Linked DNA regions of Danio rerio. The protein of the gene in region 3 interacts with the protein of the main gene of each other region in a pairwise test. Links are inferred from orthologs where the notes say so. Each region holds a gene or a part of one and is shown on either strand. Other genes may lie near its edges.

The links.
Region 1: the proteins of erlin1 (region 3) and fa2h interact in binary tests that used the Homo sapiens proteins (3 or more experiments, as listed by UniProt). The two-hybrid records come from large-scale screens. The link is inferred for Danio rerio from reciprocal best matches to the Homo sapiens genes ERLIN1 and FA2H.
Region 2: the proteins of erlin1 (region 3) and sec22a interact in binary tests that used the Homo sapiens proteins (3 or more experiments, as listed by UniProt). The two-hybrid records come from large-scale screens. The link is inferred for Danio rerio from reciprocal best matches to the Homo sapiens genes ERLIN1 and SEC22A.

The regions. Positions count from the first base shown.
Region 1 is NC_133200.1:14,542,744-14,548,373, forward strand, and holds the start of fa2h (fatty acid 2-hydroxylase), read right to left. Parts: upstream 3,284-5,630; 5' UTR 3,219-3,283; coding exon 2,922-3,218; intron 1-2,921. UniProt on the Homo sapiens protein: Catalyzes the hydroxylation of free fatty acids at the C-2 position to produce 2-hydroxy fatty acids, which are building blocks of sphingolipids and glycosphingolipids common in neural tissue and epidermis.
Region 2 is NC_133184.1:39,560,419-39,565,981, reverse strand, and holds the start of sec22a (vesicle-trafficking protein SEC22a), read right to left. Parts: upstream 3,740-5,563; 5' UTR 3,590-3,739; exon of another isoform or gene 3,586-3,589; intron 3,139-3,585; 5' UTR 3,116-3,138; coding exon 2,934-3,115; intron 201-2,933; coding exon 37-200; intron 1-36. UniProt on the Homo sapiens protein: May be involved in vesicle transport between the ER and the Golgi complex.
Region 3 is NC_133188.1:27,926,293-27,931,822, reverse strand, and holds part of erlin1 (erlin-1), read left to right. Parts: intron 1-740; coding exon 741-822; intron 823-2,004; coding exon 2,005-2,051; intron 2,052-2,186; coding exon 2,187-2,248; intron 2,249-3,499; coding exon 3,500-3,625; intron 3,626-3,789; coding exon 3,790-3,863; intron 3,864-3,941; coding exon 3,942-4,000; intron 4,001-5,530. UniProt on the Homo sapiens protein: Component of the ERLIN1/ERLIN2 complex which mediates the endoplasmic reticulum-associated degradation (ERAD) of inositol 1,4,5-trisphosphate receptors (IP3Rs).

The DNA.
Region 1 (5,630 bases), on a different chromosome or scaffold from region 3:
AAATCGAAGAATTGATTCAGTGTGATAAGAATCGCTTTTATCGCATGTTCTCCGACACAACGACGTGTCATGTGATTTATGCAACATAATCTCATGGCAATTGCTGACTATTTTACTGGTACAATTTCCTAAGAATGCATTCACACATTATTTACTTCTCTTCAAACATCTTTACATGTGCTGGTATTTAATATTATAACTGCAAAAAATATATATATAATAAAATAAAATTACCAGTAAACTTACTGTACATTTTATATATACAGTGCTTAGTATTTATAAGTACACACCTCACAAATCTAGCCTTTTAAATTCTTAGCTATACAATATTGTGTATATACATATAGATTAGTCAGTGCTGGAACTTATCTAACAAAATAATTTACGATAAAGGTCAAAAACAAGTACACTTAAATTTATGTCAGAAAAATATTAAATACAATTTTAAGAAAAGGAAAAATCAAGAGAAGCAAAAAACTTTGTTAATTTAGTTGAATTTTGTAGGTTTTAATTTTTTTATTTGCAATATTTTGCTTTAATTTAATTGTATTATCTTTTAATCTCTAAATATGTTTGGTCACTAAAATATTATTTGATTAAAAATATCCAACGCAATCTCACAGCATTTTTTAACTTTTTGATTTATTGGCTAATTTCTAATCTAATTCATACAATTTAGTACGATTTGCTCATCAATCGATGACAGTTAGAGGTGGGGGTGCCACCTTTTTTAAAATCTTACATTTTTGTACGAATTAGCCTTTAAACTGACAAAACGTAAAATACTTAAGTTTCCTTGTGAAATTAGGCTGAATTATCTGTTTAAGAAATCTGTTTTGTTTAAATGCACCAAAATATATTGCCTATATATTCACTGAGAAATGGATAAAAACATTCATTTTCAAAATAGGGTGTACTCGATTATGCTGAGCACTGTATAAAAAACTGCATTTCATTTTTTTCCTTTTAAATGTACTCCTAATCAATCAATACATAATTAGAAGGATAGTTCACCCAAAAATTTTACTTTTCTGAATCGTTCATTCATTCTTCACTTTTTCAAAACCTATTTGAGTTTATATCTTTTGTTGAACGCAGAGGATATTAAGAAAAATGCTGGTTGCTGCACTCATTGACTTTCATAGACCTTTCTTTTCTTACTATGGAAGTCGATGGGTTCCAGCAACCAGCATTCATCAAACTTTTTCTTTTTTGGTGTGTTTAAAAGAAGAAAGAAGCTCATAAAGGTTTAAAACCACGAGAGAGAGAGAGAGGTTAAATAATTTACATTTTTGGGTGATCTAAACCTTTAAGAGCAATTTTAAATCATGATTTATTTATTCATAAAAAAATGTACTAGTGATTTTTACTGAGTATATCGCGGTAGTTATGCACAGTATTGTTTAAAAAAAGCAGTTAAGTAAATTAAATTACCAGTACACTTTTTGTATATTATATTTTTACATATAAAATTGCAGTTCATTTTTTGTCCTGCATGTTAAAATGTACTCTTAATCAATCAATTCTTAATTAAAGGGATAGTTCACCCAAAAATAAAACTTTTCTTAATCGTTTACTCATTCTTCACTTGTTCAAAACCTATTTGAGTTTCTATCTTTTGATGAACACAGAGAATATTTTGGAAAATGCTGGTTGCTGCACTCATTGACTTTCATATTCTTTTCTTTTCCTACTATGGGAGTTGATGGATTCCAGCAACCAGCATTCCTCAATTTTTCTTTTTTTTTTTTTTTCTTTTTTTAAGAAAAAAGCTCATAAATGCCTTAAATCACATGAAAAATGGTTAAAATGATAAAATTTGTGGGTGATCTAAACCTTTAAGATCAATTTTAGAACATGGTTCATTTAACAGAAAATGTAGTAGTTATTTTTTACTGTGTATATTGCTGTAGTTAATATGCACAGAAATAATAACAATAATAATAATAATGATGAAATACTACGATTTAAATTTTTGTTAAATTATTTTCAGACAACACTAGCTTATTTTTCTATTTACTGGGGGAAATATATAACACTGCATGTGACTTATGCCAGAAATAAAACATAAAACAAAGTACAAGCATATTTCCCTGACATGGCTAAATAAATAATAAAGTTTATCATGATTTAATGATTGGCATTTTTGCCTTTATTTAGTCATTTAGAACCAAAATAATAACTAATTCACACTAAATATATTTTTTCAAACGGAGGATTAAAATTAGTAAATACATGTGATTCATATGATTATTTTTATATGATCATCTGATTATTTTTTTATATATTTTAATAAAGATGAAAAAATTAAGTCAATATTTAATTTATTGATTCAGTGAGTTAGTGACTTGAGTACTGCTCAAACAGGCCCGAATCATGAACAAACAAGTACCACAAATTCAGATATTTCACCTAAAAATATAAATGTACTCACTATTTACTCATCCTCAAGTGCTTCTAATATAAGTTTCTTTCTTCAGCTGAAAACAAAAGATATCCTGAAGAAAGCTGAAAAACCGGTAACCATTGACTTCCATAGTAGGAAAACAAATACTATGGAAGTCAGTGGTTACAGGTTCCCAACGTTTTTTCAAAATATGTTCCTTTGTGTTTAACAGAAGAAACGAACTGATAACGGTTTGAAATAAGTAAATGGTGATTAATTGATGACAATTTACATATTTGGGTCTCTTTAAAAGAATAAAGTTTCTAACATAAATCTGACAGCACTTTAAAAAAGTACCAAAAAATGTATTCCCTTCAGAAGAAATCACCTTTCTTGCTCTGTTTATGTGGAGCAATGCATTTCCTGAACGAATCATTGCCGTCTTAAGATGTGACCTCTCGTAAAGTTAAACTTCCTCAAAACAACGATGCTTGTGATAATTCGAGCGACTTTATCTTGTTACTTCAGGACTCACCTCCTCCGTGTCTTCATCCGTGCTGTCTCTGTCGAGTTCCCCGATGTAGTACTGCTCCATCCACCTCCGGGCGTTCTCCGAGTGCCGGTGCGGGGGTCCCTCGATCTCCAGGCTGATGTCCTTCCCCGAGCGGCGGAGGATGAGCGCCTCTCCGCCGGGGTGCATCCGCAGGAACGCCGTCACATCGTAGACGCGCGTCCCTAACAACACCCAGCACGAATCCTTGGTGCAATGTTTGGCTACCTCCTTTTCGGAAAAGAAACGAGGGGACAACGAGGGCGACATTTTGGTACTCATTTAGGGGTGTCCACAAGAGGAGAGAGAACAGCAGGCACGCAGGTGGACCCCAGCGCTCGTGGACTACAACTACTGACTTTCAACTTTAGCTTTGAGCAGAGTTCATACCCAGCCTGCTCATGAATAATTCATGACGCATTTACGTCCTGTTCAAGCACCTGTTGCGCGCGCGCCGCGGTACTGTGTACTGACAAAACGATGCTCCTTTTGTGTTTGTGTCGTTTTGTCATAGTTTAGGTTTCACGTTTTGTGTTTATGTTTTGTATTAATTTTAAATGATGTGAAAAGTTGAGTTCTCACGTAACGTTAGCTATCGATACTTGCTGGGTGCACTTCCTCTTTGTGGGCGTTGTTGGTGACATAAGCCGGTCGTTGTGTTTGCACACTGGGTGCGACTCAGATATTGTCAATAGCGTTTTATGGTTCTGTGAGACGTGACTTGATAAGTCAAAGATTTCCTATGTTTTAATTTAACTCGAGTTATTGCTCAGAAAGACGTTTTTTATAACTTTTAATGCTAGTTTTTCACTCTGATGACTATTATGGTTTTAGTAGGATACAAATGTGTTTTTGTATTGTTTTTTCTTCGCTGACCAGTTATCTATAGTTTTTGTAGTAAAGCTTGGGTTTAAAATGATAATGCCAACGAAAATGCTGGTTATTACAATAGTATAACATGTTACTTAACATACTTAAAGGTCTAACAGGAAAAAAGAGGTAACACCAGCATTCTAGTTCACTAGAAATTGTTGCAGGTCAGATTGACATTTTCTGTAATTTAGATTATATTCACATAATGTGATGTGTATAATAAGATTCAATAGATCTTATATGATTGCCTGTATATATGAGTAGGGTAGAGCCCGTCTCATTTTTCTAAATTAGTTTCCTATTCAAATAAATGGTTTTCTTGTTATAAGCTATGAACTGGTTCTTTTGTATTTATTTATGATTTGACTGCTGAAAAAAGCAGCAGGATGAATTCTGAAGTGTTTCAGGCAATATTTTTTGCTCATATTAACCAAATGCTTTAGAACTCATTGGATGGTGCTTCACAGTGCAGATGGAGAATGACCCAGAAAAAGCATTTGAATGCTGGAAAAGCAATCAAATAGGTTTTGAAGGCAAAGAAGTTGAATGTTATGCAATGGCCTTGTCAATCACCTGACTGAATCCGATTAAGCATGCATTTTACTTTTTGAAGGCAAAGCTGAAGGGAAAATGCCCCAAGAACAAGCAGGAACTGAAGACAGTTGCTGTAGAGTCCTGGCAGAGCACCACCAGGAATGAAACCCAACGTCTGATGTCAAAGGATTTGCAACCAAGTATTAAAAAGTGAAAGCTTAATTTATGATTATTATTCTGCTTAATTACCTTTGGACCCTTAACAAGTGGGAGGCACACATGCAAACTGTTGTAATTCCTACAGCGTTCACCTGATTTGGATGTAAATACCCTCACATTAAAGCTGAGAGTCTGCAGTATAAGTACATCTTGTTCGTTTCATTTCAAGTCCATTGTGTTGGTGTATAGAGTCAAAAATTGTAGAATTGTGTTGATGTCCAAATAATTATGGAATTTATATATATATATATATGAACTTTATTGCAAAATTTGCAAATTCAGGAATATTTAAGCGAAACCGACTCTATCGTTGTACAATGCTTGTTGGGAGTGGGTGGCTTGAAGTCCCTTATTGGTAGATTTGTCTAACAGCATCATGGGTAATATAGTTTTTCTGCATGAATTCCGTCATCTGTCATGATTGTTTTTTTTTTTTTTTAATGAACAGATTAAAATGTTCATTAGTTACTGTCAAATATGAGGTACCACTATTTAAATCAAACACACTTGAACATAAAAACAGCAAGAACAGAGCATTAACATCGATTAATAAGCATACATATAAAGCAGTGACTGAATACTTATTATTATTATTGTTAACTGAACAATACTTGTTGTAGATATCATTTACACTCAGAAATTGCTAATAAATTTTAAAAGCGTATTACATTAAATGTGAAATTTTAAAGTAGAAAACTAAAATAATACTGTAAAATGTTTTTTAAAGTTATATTTTAAAACAGGCGGTGATGTTGCCTCACAGCAAGAAGGTCTCTGGTTCGAGCCTTGGCTGGGTCACTTGGCATATCTGTGGGGAGTTTGCATGTTCTCCTCGTGTTCATGTGGGTTTCCTCCGGGTGCTTTAGTTTTCTGCACAAGACATGTGCTGTATAGGTGAATTGGGCGAGCTAAATTGTCCTTAGTGTATGTGTGTGAATGTGAGAGTGTATGTTTCCCATGGATTGCTGCTGGAAGGGCATCCGCTGCGTAAAACATAAGCTGGATAAGTTGGCGGTTCATTCCGCTGTGGCGAACCCAGATTAAAAAAGGGACTAAGCAGAAAAGAAA
Region 2 (5,563 bases), on a different chromosome or scaffold from region 3:
GTTAGAAACCTGTCCTGACCCCCTTAAGAAACTCACCAAACTCAATGAAAGAGAAAGGCCTCAAAGCACTGTTGATCCGCTTGGTGTCATACGTGACTATGAACTCTCTCTGAAGCTCATCTAAGAAGCTGAAGGCCAGGACATTGGGATAGTTCTCTGTGCAAACCATCAAGTACCCAACTCCGAGAGAGCTTGTGAAGCTGTGGAAAACAAGACATGTCACAGTTTACATCATACTTCTACAGTCAATTTTCATTTAGTATTCAATATAGAAGATGAATAAGTTGACACACTGACAGCTCTGGGAAGCAAAACATGTAAAAACATGACATCTGTCATTCCCAGACAGGACGGGCAAGGTCAAGAAAGTCCATTCCAATGACCTTCGCATTCAAATAACCATTGTGTATAAAAATCCCCCATCACCCTCTGTTTTACACCTGCTTTGAATCTGAACAGTTTAGTAACTCGCCCTCAGGAAAGAAGAAACTTTGTCAGTGTGTCTCTCCATGTTAACGTCTATTTGAGAGATGAAACGATCCACTGAGTCAGTCCAGAGAGAGATCGGACTTGTTTCTGCCTGCTTGTGAAGTGTGGACTGATGAATAGCAGCCAGGCTATGAAATGGTCACCCCTGGGTCCGTCAGTGTAATGCATCTGAATTAGACCTTGCTGAAGGGGAACTTTTAATTTTGCATCAGAACAGTTGGCAACCAGTGCACAGCACCCCACTGTGATTTGTTTTAGCTGGGATGTTTTAATTAAAGGAATGGTCATCCAAATATGAAATATCCGCCATCGTTTAGGCTACTTGCCCTAGCATTTTAACAAACAAGTCTGCCTTTTTGTTTCTTCCACTAAACATTACAGCTACCATCAATCAATAGCAATAAAATAGATAAAAAGCATGCCTAGCTATAGTTTTCTGTTTATTTCTAACTAAGGCTGCACAATATATTGCAAAATTTATAGTATATGCAATATACACTGTTAAAAAAATAAAGGGAACACTAAAAAACACATCCTAGATCTGACTATATTCTTATTAAATACTTTGTTATTTACATAGTTGAATGTGCTGACAATAAAAATCACAAAAAGATTATCAATGGAAATCCTTTTTATTAACCCATGGAGGTCTGGATTTTGAGTCACATTTAAACTTGTAGTAGTAAAACACTCAACAGACTGATCCAACTTTGATGTAATGTCCTTAAAACAAGTCAAAATGAGTTTCAGTAGTGTCGGTGTTACCTCTATGTGCCCATATGACCTTATACAGGTATAGGAAAAAATAAAAAAAATGCAAAAATAAAGATTAAAACAACAGCCAAACAGAGTCAGAATATCTGAGGGTTTCTGCAGGTTACACTACGATAAATTTAAGAATTTTAAAGACACTTTGAAGACCATTATAAAATAAATTTAGACCTATATCCCAGTTGGAAAAAAATGTATTTACCTAATCAAAAAATAATTGAACACATTTAATAATATAGTAAAAATTATAATAATAATTTAATAATTAAAAATAAAGGTCAGGTCAGTATCCTCAGCAGTGAATACATAGAGAACTTTAAACAAATGTTACTGTAAGAACAATTATTACACCATTATGGTAAATGGAGTTAAAATTTCTAAGTAAAAAAGTTAAATATTTAATTGAGATGGATTGTTGATGATTGTATGGTGTTGGTCAGATTGGATAGCTACACATAAACAAAGGAAAATGAAGACCTGATAAATAAATTAAAGATTTAAGTAGATTTAAGACTTTTTAAGGCCTAAAATTTATTTTTGAGACATTTTAAGACTTTCTATCCATCTTGCAGCCCACACAAAACAAAAAAATCTGAAGAATGTTGGAAACTCATCCATTGACATCTATAGTAGGAACAAAAAAAAAAAGGAATTATATGGCTGCTGCATTCCAGCATTCTTCAAAATATCTTATTTAGTGACAAAAGAAGGAAACTCGAACAAGTTTAGAACAAGTGGAGTGTGAGTAAATGATTTTCATTTTTGGCTGAACAGTCCCTTTAAAGTCTATGTTTTTCCAGTGCAAACATCACAGTTGGTTTTCACACTGGACATCTATGGTGTAAATGTGGTATAGCATAGCCATTTGGGGGAAGTTGTTTTTATATTCACACATTCAGACATTCGCGTTCAATTAAATAGTAAAGCAGAATTTAAATAGGCTAATAGCGGTTAATTATTATGATGTACTGTTATGAGCACCACACATTATATTGTTACTAACTGTAACTAAAAAGCTGATGAACACACTTTTCTGTATGGAAGGTCTGTATATTGTTTAACATACTAGTTTGAATATTCGGTCTGAATTCTGAAATCGCATGTATGACTTCCAGGATCGGACTTAACCAATGAGAGGGGTAAGCAGCCGCTTAGGGGCCCAGGGAATTAAGGGGACTTGACCAATGCGAAGAAGCCTATATTGCTCATTAAGCTTTTTTATAAGTTTTTTATCATATGTGGTAAAATCTGTCTACAACCATTACAAGATTGACATTATTACTACTAAGGGCCACCATAAATAGTGGAATGTTCCTTCCGTTCCGCACATGCAAATATTAAAATCTAATCACAAATATGGCTCCTTAACTGTACATAGTTTGCGAGCTTGCTGTTTGTGACTCTACAGTGAAAAAAAAATATCTACAGTATAGAGAAAGTAAGTGATTTGAGTTTCAATGCTAGGGCCCCATACCTGTAATTGCTTAGGGCCACTGATGACTTCAAAAGTATGACAAATCAACATTAGCACTATTTAATTGACTGTGAACGATGTAGTACTTTGATAGTCACTGGCTGCTAATATGATTTTCCCTATTTGGAATTTGCAAAGAATACTTTGTAATTATGAAATTACATTTAGAAGGTGAAATGCCACTACATGCAAAACTCACTTGATATTGTATAGTCCAGATCTGAGTGAGCAGCGATCAGGAAACTGGCTGAGTTTTTTGGACAGGACCTTGAGATGTTTCTTTGTCTCCTGAATTCCTTTATCCAGTTCATAGTCTGTGGAGGCTGAGAGAGGCAAACCGTCCCTCACTCTCACCACTGAGGCAAACAGGACCATAGACATCTTACAGAAAGCTCAGTTGACACCTGGAAGAACAGGATATTTAGGGCATTCACTGCATATAATGGCCCATTTACCACCCTCTTAGTTTTCTGCTAGCTAGAATAATCTAAAAAATTACATACAAAATCTAGACATATTTTACGAATTCTATAATATCATTCAGCTCTATGTACGTGGACTCATGACATCTGGTGCACACTGTGCTAAGCTAATAATATTAGCATGTTTGCTGACTTATTGTCATCATATCACGTTTGGTGATTGTCTTATGCGCTACAGAACCCCATATCTACAATAATACAGGCTTATAATATTTTAAGGTCAAGCTATTCTTTAAAACTATTCATCGCATTGATTTACAATGATGTGCAGTAGCGTTATATGGCTGTACTGCTACCATAGCAAGATACTTAACTAGACACTAAGCGACACTTATTGCAAGCATTAACACAGTCTTTCAGTGTACATACCTACTGACATGAGCCGATTAAAAATATATTAAGACATTATAACCCTTTTGAGTTATTTTGTTGATATACTATCTTGATCGTTGAGCTCTTCCTGCGGGTCTCATAGCGGACGGTTTTTGCTTACGTACGACACAGCTTCGGCTAAACTCGTAACAACTTCGGCACAGTCCCGGTTTCTCTTCGTATATTTTCGGAAAACATTCGGCTCTGTGACGGTCTCGGTGAGGTAAAGGATTATTTGTGGGCCACTGTAATCCACCGATGTTTTTTATGGAATAACCGAGATATTACAATCAGAAACAAATCATTTTTCCATAGGTGGATTTAAAATAATATTAATTGTATCCTTTGCTTGTTTGATGATGCAAGAAATTTGTTTTTGTTATGAACAATTTATAACATATCAGTTTCCCAGCTCATCCTAAAGAATTTAATAAAGTGGTTTAAGCAATTTCACCTGGTTTATTTCACCTAGTTAAAAGTCACTGTAGAACTAACCGACTTAGTGGATATTCATTCTCCTTTTAGTCTGTTAGATAAGGAATTTAACAATAAGTTTGTGTGTCAAATTTATCTATTTAAAAGGCACATTTCTTCTAGAAGAAAGATATATGGAGGACCTTCATTGAGTTTATAGTCTGGACTAGAACCAGGCTTTTACCTGGGAAATATTGCATGTCCAACAAGGCAAAATAAATGCATTTTACAATTTTACACAATTTATCCTGTAAGTTCTAGTATTTTTAAATTTTTGGACATTGACAGCTCCTGTTCTTTCTGCAAACAAGCAGAGGAGACAGTACATATGTTTTTGATTGTCCAATTGCTTTAGTCTAAAAGATATTATTTTTTATCATAATAACCCAAAAGATAAACCCCTGGAACACATAACTTTTTAAACCTATATGGCTAATTTTTCATTCACAAACAGAAATTTGCATAAAATTACCCTTCCTTTGCTCATTAGAATAAAATTCAACTTTCTCCTAAAATCACTTCATCTTATTAAGAATAATAAATAAAAACCCTAAGATTCCTGAATATTATACAGATGTATTTTAAGATTATCCTCGATTTTAGTTGCTTTCCTCATGATTATACTCGGGGCTTGACATTAACACCCGCAAACCCCCAAACGCGGGTAGATTTCAGCTGTGGCAGGTTAGATGATCGTGCACCCACAGTCCAGCTGAAAAATAATAGTATTATTCATTCATTCATATTCTTTTCGGCTCTGACCTTTGGGAACTTTGGGGTCACCACAGCGGATTTAACCGCTAACTATTCCAGCTTATGTTTTACACAGCGGATGCCCTTCCAGTTGCAACCCATTACTGGGAAACATCCATACACACTCATTTACACACATACATTATACGGACAATTTAGCCTACCAAAATTCACCTATAGCGCATGTCTTTGGACTTGTGGGGGAAACTGGAGCACCCGGAGGAAACCCACACAAACACAGGAAGAACATGCAAACTCCACACAGAAATGCCAACTAATCCAGCTGAGGCTCGATCCAGCGACTTTCTTGCCGTGAGGTGATCGTGCTACCCACTGCGCCACCGTGATGCATTATCCAATAAAAAATATATTTGATAAAGAATATTCTAAACTATTTTTATAAGCTAACCATAATGTTCCCATAGAAAAATTATTGTTTAATAATGTCACCGAATGTATATTAAATAGTACTATGATGAAGGTGTGATGCGTGTACAGACCTGACTGATTTTTCTGATTTGCCCTTGATTTTCCAACAATTAATCTAAACATTAATCCACAAATAGGAAATAAACAGTTGTAGTTAATGTAATAATAAATAAATCATATTCTTTGTGGTTCAAAAATATATTTATTCTTATGGACTAAATCACATACAGTAACAACTGTTCATTTGGATGGCATATCTTAACAGAGAGTAGAAACATTAATGTGATTCAGTGATTTATCTTATAATTCTTCACATCCA
Region 3 (5,530 bases):
TCCAGTTACAAATGTTATTTCATTACAACCGTCATTAGATGTATATATGTAAAGCAGCTTTCTGTTTCCAGTTTAATGATATTGACCTTGCTAGTAGACAGACAAATGGAACTATTTTGTTCTGTCTTGTTTTTAGCTATCTAGAAATCAGAAATTTCTAGAACTGCGATACAGGGATCTGGATCTATTGGATTTTGACCTATTTTTGAGATTGTTAGAAAAATATTTTCCCAGTTAGATGATAATTTTGGGCAGCTCCAGAACATGAGCCAGGGATGCCGGTTCTAGCTCACACCGATTAGATGCAGGGTCCACTTCTGAAAATGTCTTACTAGTTTTTTTTTTTTTTGTTCGGATCAATGTGGGGACATAATATTTTGACGTGTTTTCGTGTATGTGTGTAGTGTGTATATGCGTGTGCTGGATTATGAAGACACCAAATTGTAAAATGACATGGGTAAGGTGGTTTATAAAGACACCCCTTGTGCCCAAATAATTCAAAATGTGTGCATTTTGAATATATAATGAAAGTCAGTAGTTATTAGCAGTCTTCAAAATAACTTAATTTTTGTTCAGGAAAAAAATAAAGTTTTGCAGGTTTGAAATGACATGGGGATGAGTAAATGATGACCCAATTTTAATTTTGGGGTGAATTATCATCTTTATTCTAACAATTTTTACAACACTATGCACATGAAGATAACATTGCTGCCATATTTATAATGTTTTTTTTTTGACAGAGGAGGAGCTTTGTTGACCTCTCCAAATGGCCCAGGTTACCATATAATGCTGCCTTTCATCACTTCTTATAGATCAGTGCAGGTACGACTGTCATTTATTTATCATTTGGTCTAATTATGAAGGAATTATGGCTTTGTTTAAAGCTGTAAATTGATGCTAATTTTATATTAATTTATTTATAAGGTTATCTAATATTTTGCAATTAGCAGATGCTTTTATTTAAAGAAACTCATTTTAACTGAGCCAAAGATATTTATAAGGGCTTTTCACACTGTGCTTACACCTTATATGGCAAAAGACCATTTCACACTTTTTATTTAGTATAGCAGTACTTCTAAGCCAAGTTAGTTCTGCATTTACACTGTCAACCACCTCATTGTGGTGCCAAAATTAATTTATAAAATAATATAGTGTTCAAATACTACAGCTAAATGCACAGTAACCGACATCCTATCATGTGACTCCTATTCACATGCTTTGGAAAGTCACAAAAGCAATGTGTGTTGTATAGTCTTGCATTTTCAAGGAAAGATGTGAAGCTGTGATGGAAAATCACAACTGGAGTCAAGGAGAAACCAGTATTCCATTTATTTTCTGAAAAGTTAATTAAGGAAAAAACTGATAGTTGTTGTCAACATATAATTAGGATGCAAATGTAAAAGGATGTGTGGATGTAAAACGGACATGTGCCTCATTTATGCAGTCAATGACACTGCAAATATGCAAATCATTGATCTTATCCCAGGATTTAGGAATTTACAGTGTGAAACATTAGTGTATGAATAATACGCAGTATGAGTTGTTAATCCTAAGTAAATTATGAGAAGTGTAAATTGTGCCACAAGATAACTTAAGATTGTGTTTATCTGGGGTTTGGAATTTAAAGGGGTAATTCACCTTAAAATGAGAATGTACTCACTGTTTACTCACACTCAAGAGGCTCCAAACCTTTTTGAGTTTTATTTTTTCTGTTAAACCTAAAATAAGATATTTTGAAGAATGTTAGTAACCACTAACCATTGACCTGCATCGGAAAAACAAATACTATGGACATCAATGGCTGCAGGTTTCCAACATTTTACAAAGTATAATCTTTTGTGATCAACAGAAAAAAGTAACTCAAGCAGGTTTATGAGGGCTGAGGAAAATGATGACAGCTTGAGTTTTATAGTTTTGGGTGAACCATCCTTTTATGTGTGAATACCAGGATTATTAGAAATGTTTGTTGAAGACACTGATCTTTTTTCCCCTTCATCTTTATAGACAACTCTGCAAACAGATGAAATAAAAAATGTGCCTTGTGGAACTAGGTAAACTTTTCTGTTGTTATTTAATTGAACAGGTCTTAAAACAACTGCTTAAAATGGAAAAGTAATGTCATAATTGTGTATAGGATATTTTCTAGTACTCCAGAATGAACAATTTCTCTGTTGTCTCGTCCACAGTGGGGGTGTAATGATCTATTTTGACAGAATTGAAGTGGTCAACATGCTCATTCCAACCTCAGGTAAGACTCTTAACAAGAGAGTTTACACAACAAGGGATGGTCCGTCTTTATTTTTTCCACCTTCAATCTTTTTTTCCAAACCTGTATAACTAGCTCGGTTTTCATTTGCCTGTTTTTATGCACATTTTGGAATATTACATGAAAAATGCATAATGAAAACATAAAGATGTGAACACAATTTTTAAATGCACTAAAAACATACGTGCACATCTGAGTAGGATAAACGTTTTATTCAGCAAGACTAGATGATGAAAACAATAAATTCCAGCAGGTGCAACAGATTATGTGATAACAAAAAATGGGCAGGATGAAACAACATTTATGGACCAACCAGCAGACCATCTGAAATGTTGTTTTGGTCATTTTAAAATCCCTTAGCCAAAGTCTGTCTTTAAAGTGGTTCAGTACACTGCAAAAAAAAGCTTTTCTTTCAACAATGTTTCTTATATTCTTTGTCTTGTTTCTAGTCCAAACGGGGTGAGTAATGTTGTTTTTCCCTTTTACAAATGATTATTTTGCTTACCCCATTTAAGCTAGAAATATGATGATATGTTTTGCTTGTTTTAAAAATGCTTTTTGATTTTAAGAAATTTTAAATATTTTGACAATAACACAAAAAATCTTAAGAAAAGCCTTTTTTTGTTGGGTATTATTACCTCCCAGTCTTGAGCGGCTGCACTCCTAAAGAGTGGTTCCGTGCCTCCAAAAGCCACACGTTCATTCCATTCTTTTCAGTTTTTGTCATTGTTTATCTTCATAGGTGCAAGTAATTTATTATATAAGAAAAAGGCATGAGTCTAATTAGAAGTCAGTAGCTGTTTTCATCCAAAGATGCTGTCTGTAGAATGCTCTGTTTACATATACTATTAAGAAGTGCTTTCATCAATCCAATCAGAAGCAGATGACACTAAATATAGGTGTAAACTGAGTTGAGGGCCACTTCCAGAGGTAGTCAAAAAATGCATTAGATTGATTGCTTTCACAAAATAACACTTATACTTTATGGTTGAATCCAATCTAACAGCCACACTAGCACATTGTCTACAAACGTGAAATGATGAGTAAATAAAGTATCTATATGTCACTGTATTGTACAAAAACACATGGTTTATAATCAGTCATTCACATCCTATTCATTTTCTTACATTTCCACTCACCATAAACTGTAATATGTAATATTTTTTCAGTTAACTCAACTGACCACTTTCCAATGCCTAAATTAGATCATACATTTGTCCTCTTCCTTCACAGTGGTGGATATAGTGAGGAATTACACTGCAGATTATGACAAGACGCTAATCTTCAATAAAATTCACCATGAGTTAAACCAGTTCTGCAGTGTGCACACACTACAGGAAGTCTACATTGAGCTGTTCGGTAAGTCACCGATAAGTCAAACAGTTTATTCTGCTAAGTGTACTGAACTTTCTGTTGTTTATGTGAGCCCTGTTTCTGTTGTGTCACTGGTTTCATATTTGGCGCCTTTTTACTTGATGAACATTGGTCTTGAACTGGCATTTGTGTTGTTTGTTTTATGACAGACATAATTGATGAGAACTTGAAGACTGCACTACAGAAGGACTTGAATTGTATGGCCCCTGGTCTCACCATTCAGGTATCATTTTTTTTTATATTGCTATTTTTTAATAAGGTTTTAGTTTTGATTTATTTAATTCTGTGTTAACATTTGCAGGCCGTGAGAGTCACCAAACCTAAAATTCCAGAGGCAATCAGAAGAAATTATGAGCTCATGTGAGTTCATATATTGTTCTGTCCATATTACATATTTGTTAAGTCTTTTTAAATCACACTTTTATTTGAAAAATATTTTGATAACATTTAATATACATTATGCATAAAAAGTTTTTATGCTAAATAAAAAGAAGTTTCTCATTGCTCGTCAAAAATGTAGTTGAAAAGAGAATATTGTGAAATATTAAAGTTTAAAATAATATTGGTAAGACATTTTTATATGTTTTTTTTTGTTCTTGTGATTTTTCAGCAACTATTTGTTCTGTTCTCAGTGTCACACAATCCCTAAAAAGTCATTCTAATAGGCTATTTTGATTTTTAAGGAAGATTTAATTATTATTTATTAACAAACAGTATCATTATCAATGTTGAAAATAGTGTTTTCACAATTTTTAAATAGTTTTTCATAGGAACTAATTAGGGATGCTCAAAATAATCGATTAACCGTTAACCGAAAGGGTGCGTTTGTTATCGATTAATGCTATCAGTTAAACGATTAAAATTATTATTTTATATAGTTTTAGTTTGGCTGCATAAGGGGCCGATTGAATGCGCCTTTGCGTTAAGAGGAGCATCTTTTGTGCGCGGCTCATCCCAGAGCAGCAGTTTGTGTTGTCAAGACAACTAGAGAGAACTTTTAAAGAGCTTGGTTTCCGCTACATTCATTCTTCCATGGCGGGGACCATAATGCTTCCCGCCACAGCTACATACCCATTCAAAACATTCAGTTATAGTTGTTTTTGTTTTTAATAGCGGATTATAATCGCATCAAAACGTATTAAAAGGAAAGTGAATTATAACAGCGCAAACTTCTCTGTAACCGTATAGTGCTGTGCGCTATCTGTTTAATCCTTTGGCGTTACGTGCTGACTGACTGACTGACAGGTGCATGATGCGTGAGGACAGCAAACACGCCGAAGCTTTCAGTTAAGATGAACACTGTTTCTATAGTTATACTTTATTTATAGATAAAGTATGACTCTGCATATAATCACTCTATCATGCTGGAGTTTATAGCCGTTTCGCTTTACTTCAGGATGCATTAACACCGCTCTGAAGGTCTAATCGCTGTTTTAAGTTATCCAGAGCTGTATGAATGTACAAATCTTCAATATCACAATATTATCAAATATAAAAATTGTAACAACATAGACAGCAACACTTTTGCTCAATCGATACCCAGCTGATTCAGTCGTTTCATAAGAGGGCTGCACTTCTCTTCTTTTTTCCTTGTCAACATAAAGGCAGTAAGGTGCGCCTCGCGTTTTTGGAATGAAAAAAGCATGTTAGCTGTGGTTGGCCACTTGTTCAACTGCAAGAAATAGGCCTACTTAACTTGCGGGACGATAACGTATAACCCGTGCCTACAGACACATTTGCCAAAGAAGCAAAATGGAAGAAGAATATTGCTGTTTGAAACAGATGTGTTGATGCCAAACCAGCGCTTATGTTGACCTGGATCTGCGTCATAAACGCAACAAATAGGCTTTACCTTTATTTTACAGCTTATAAAGCATGTATGCACATTAA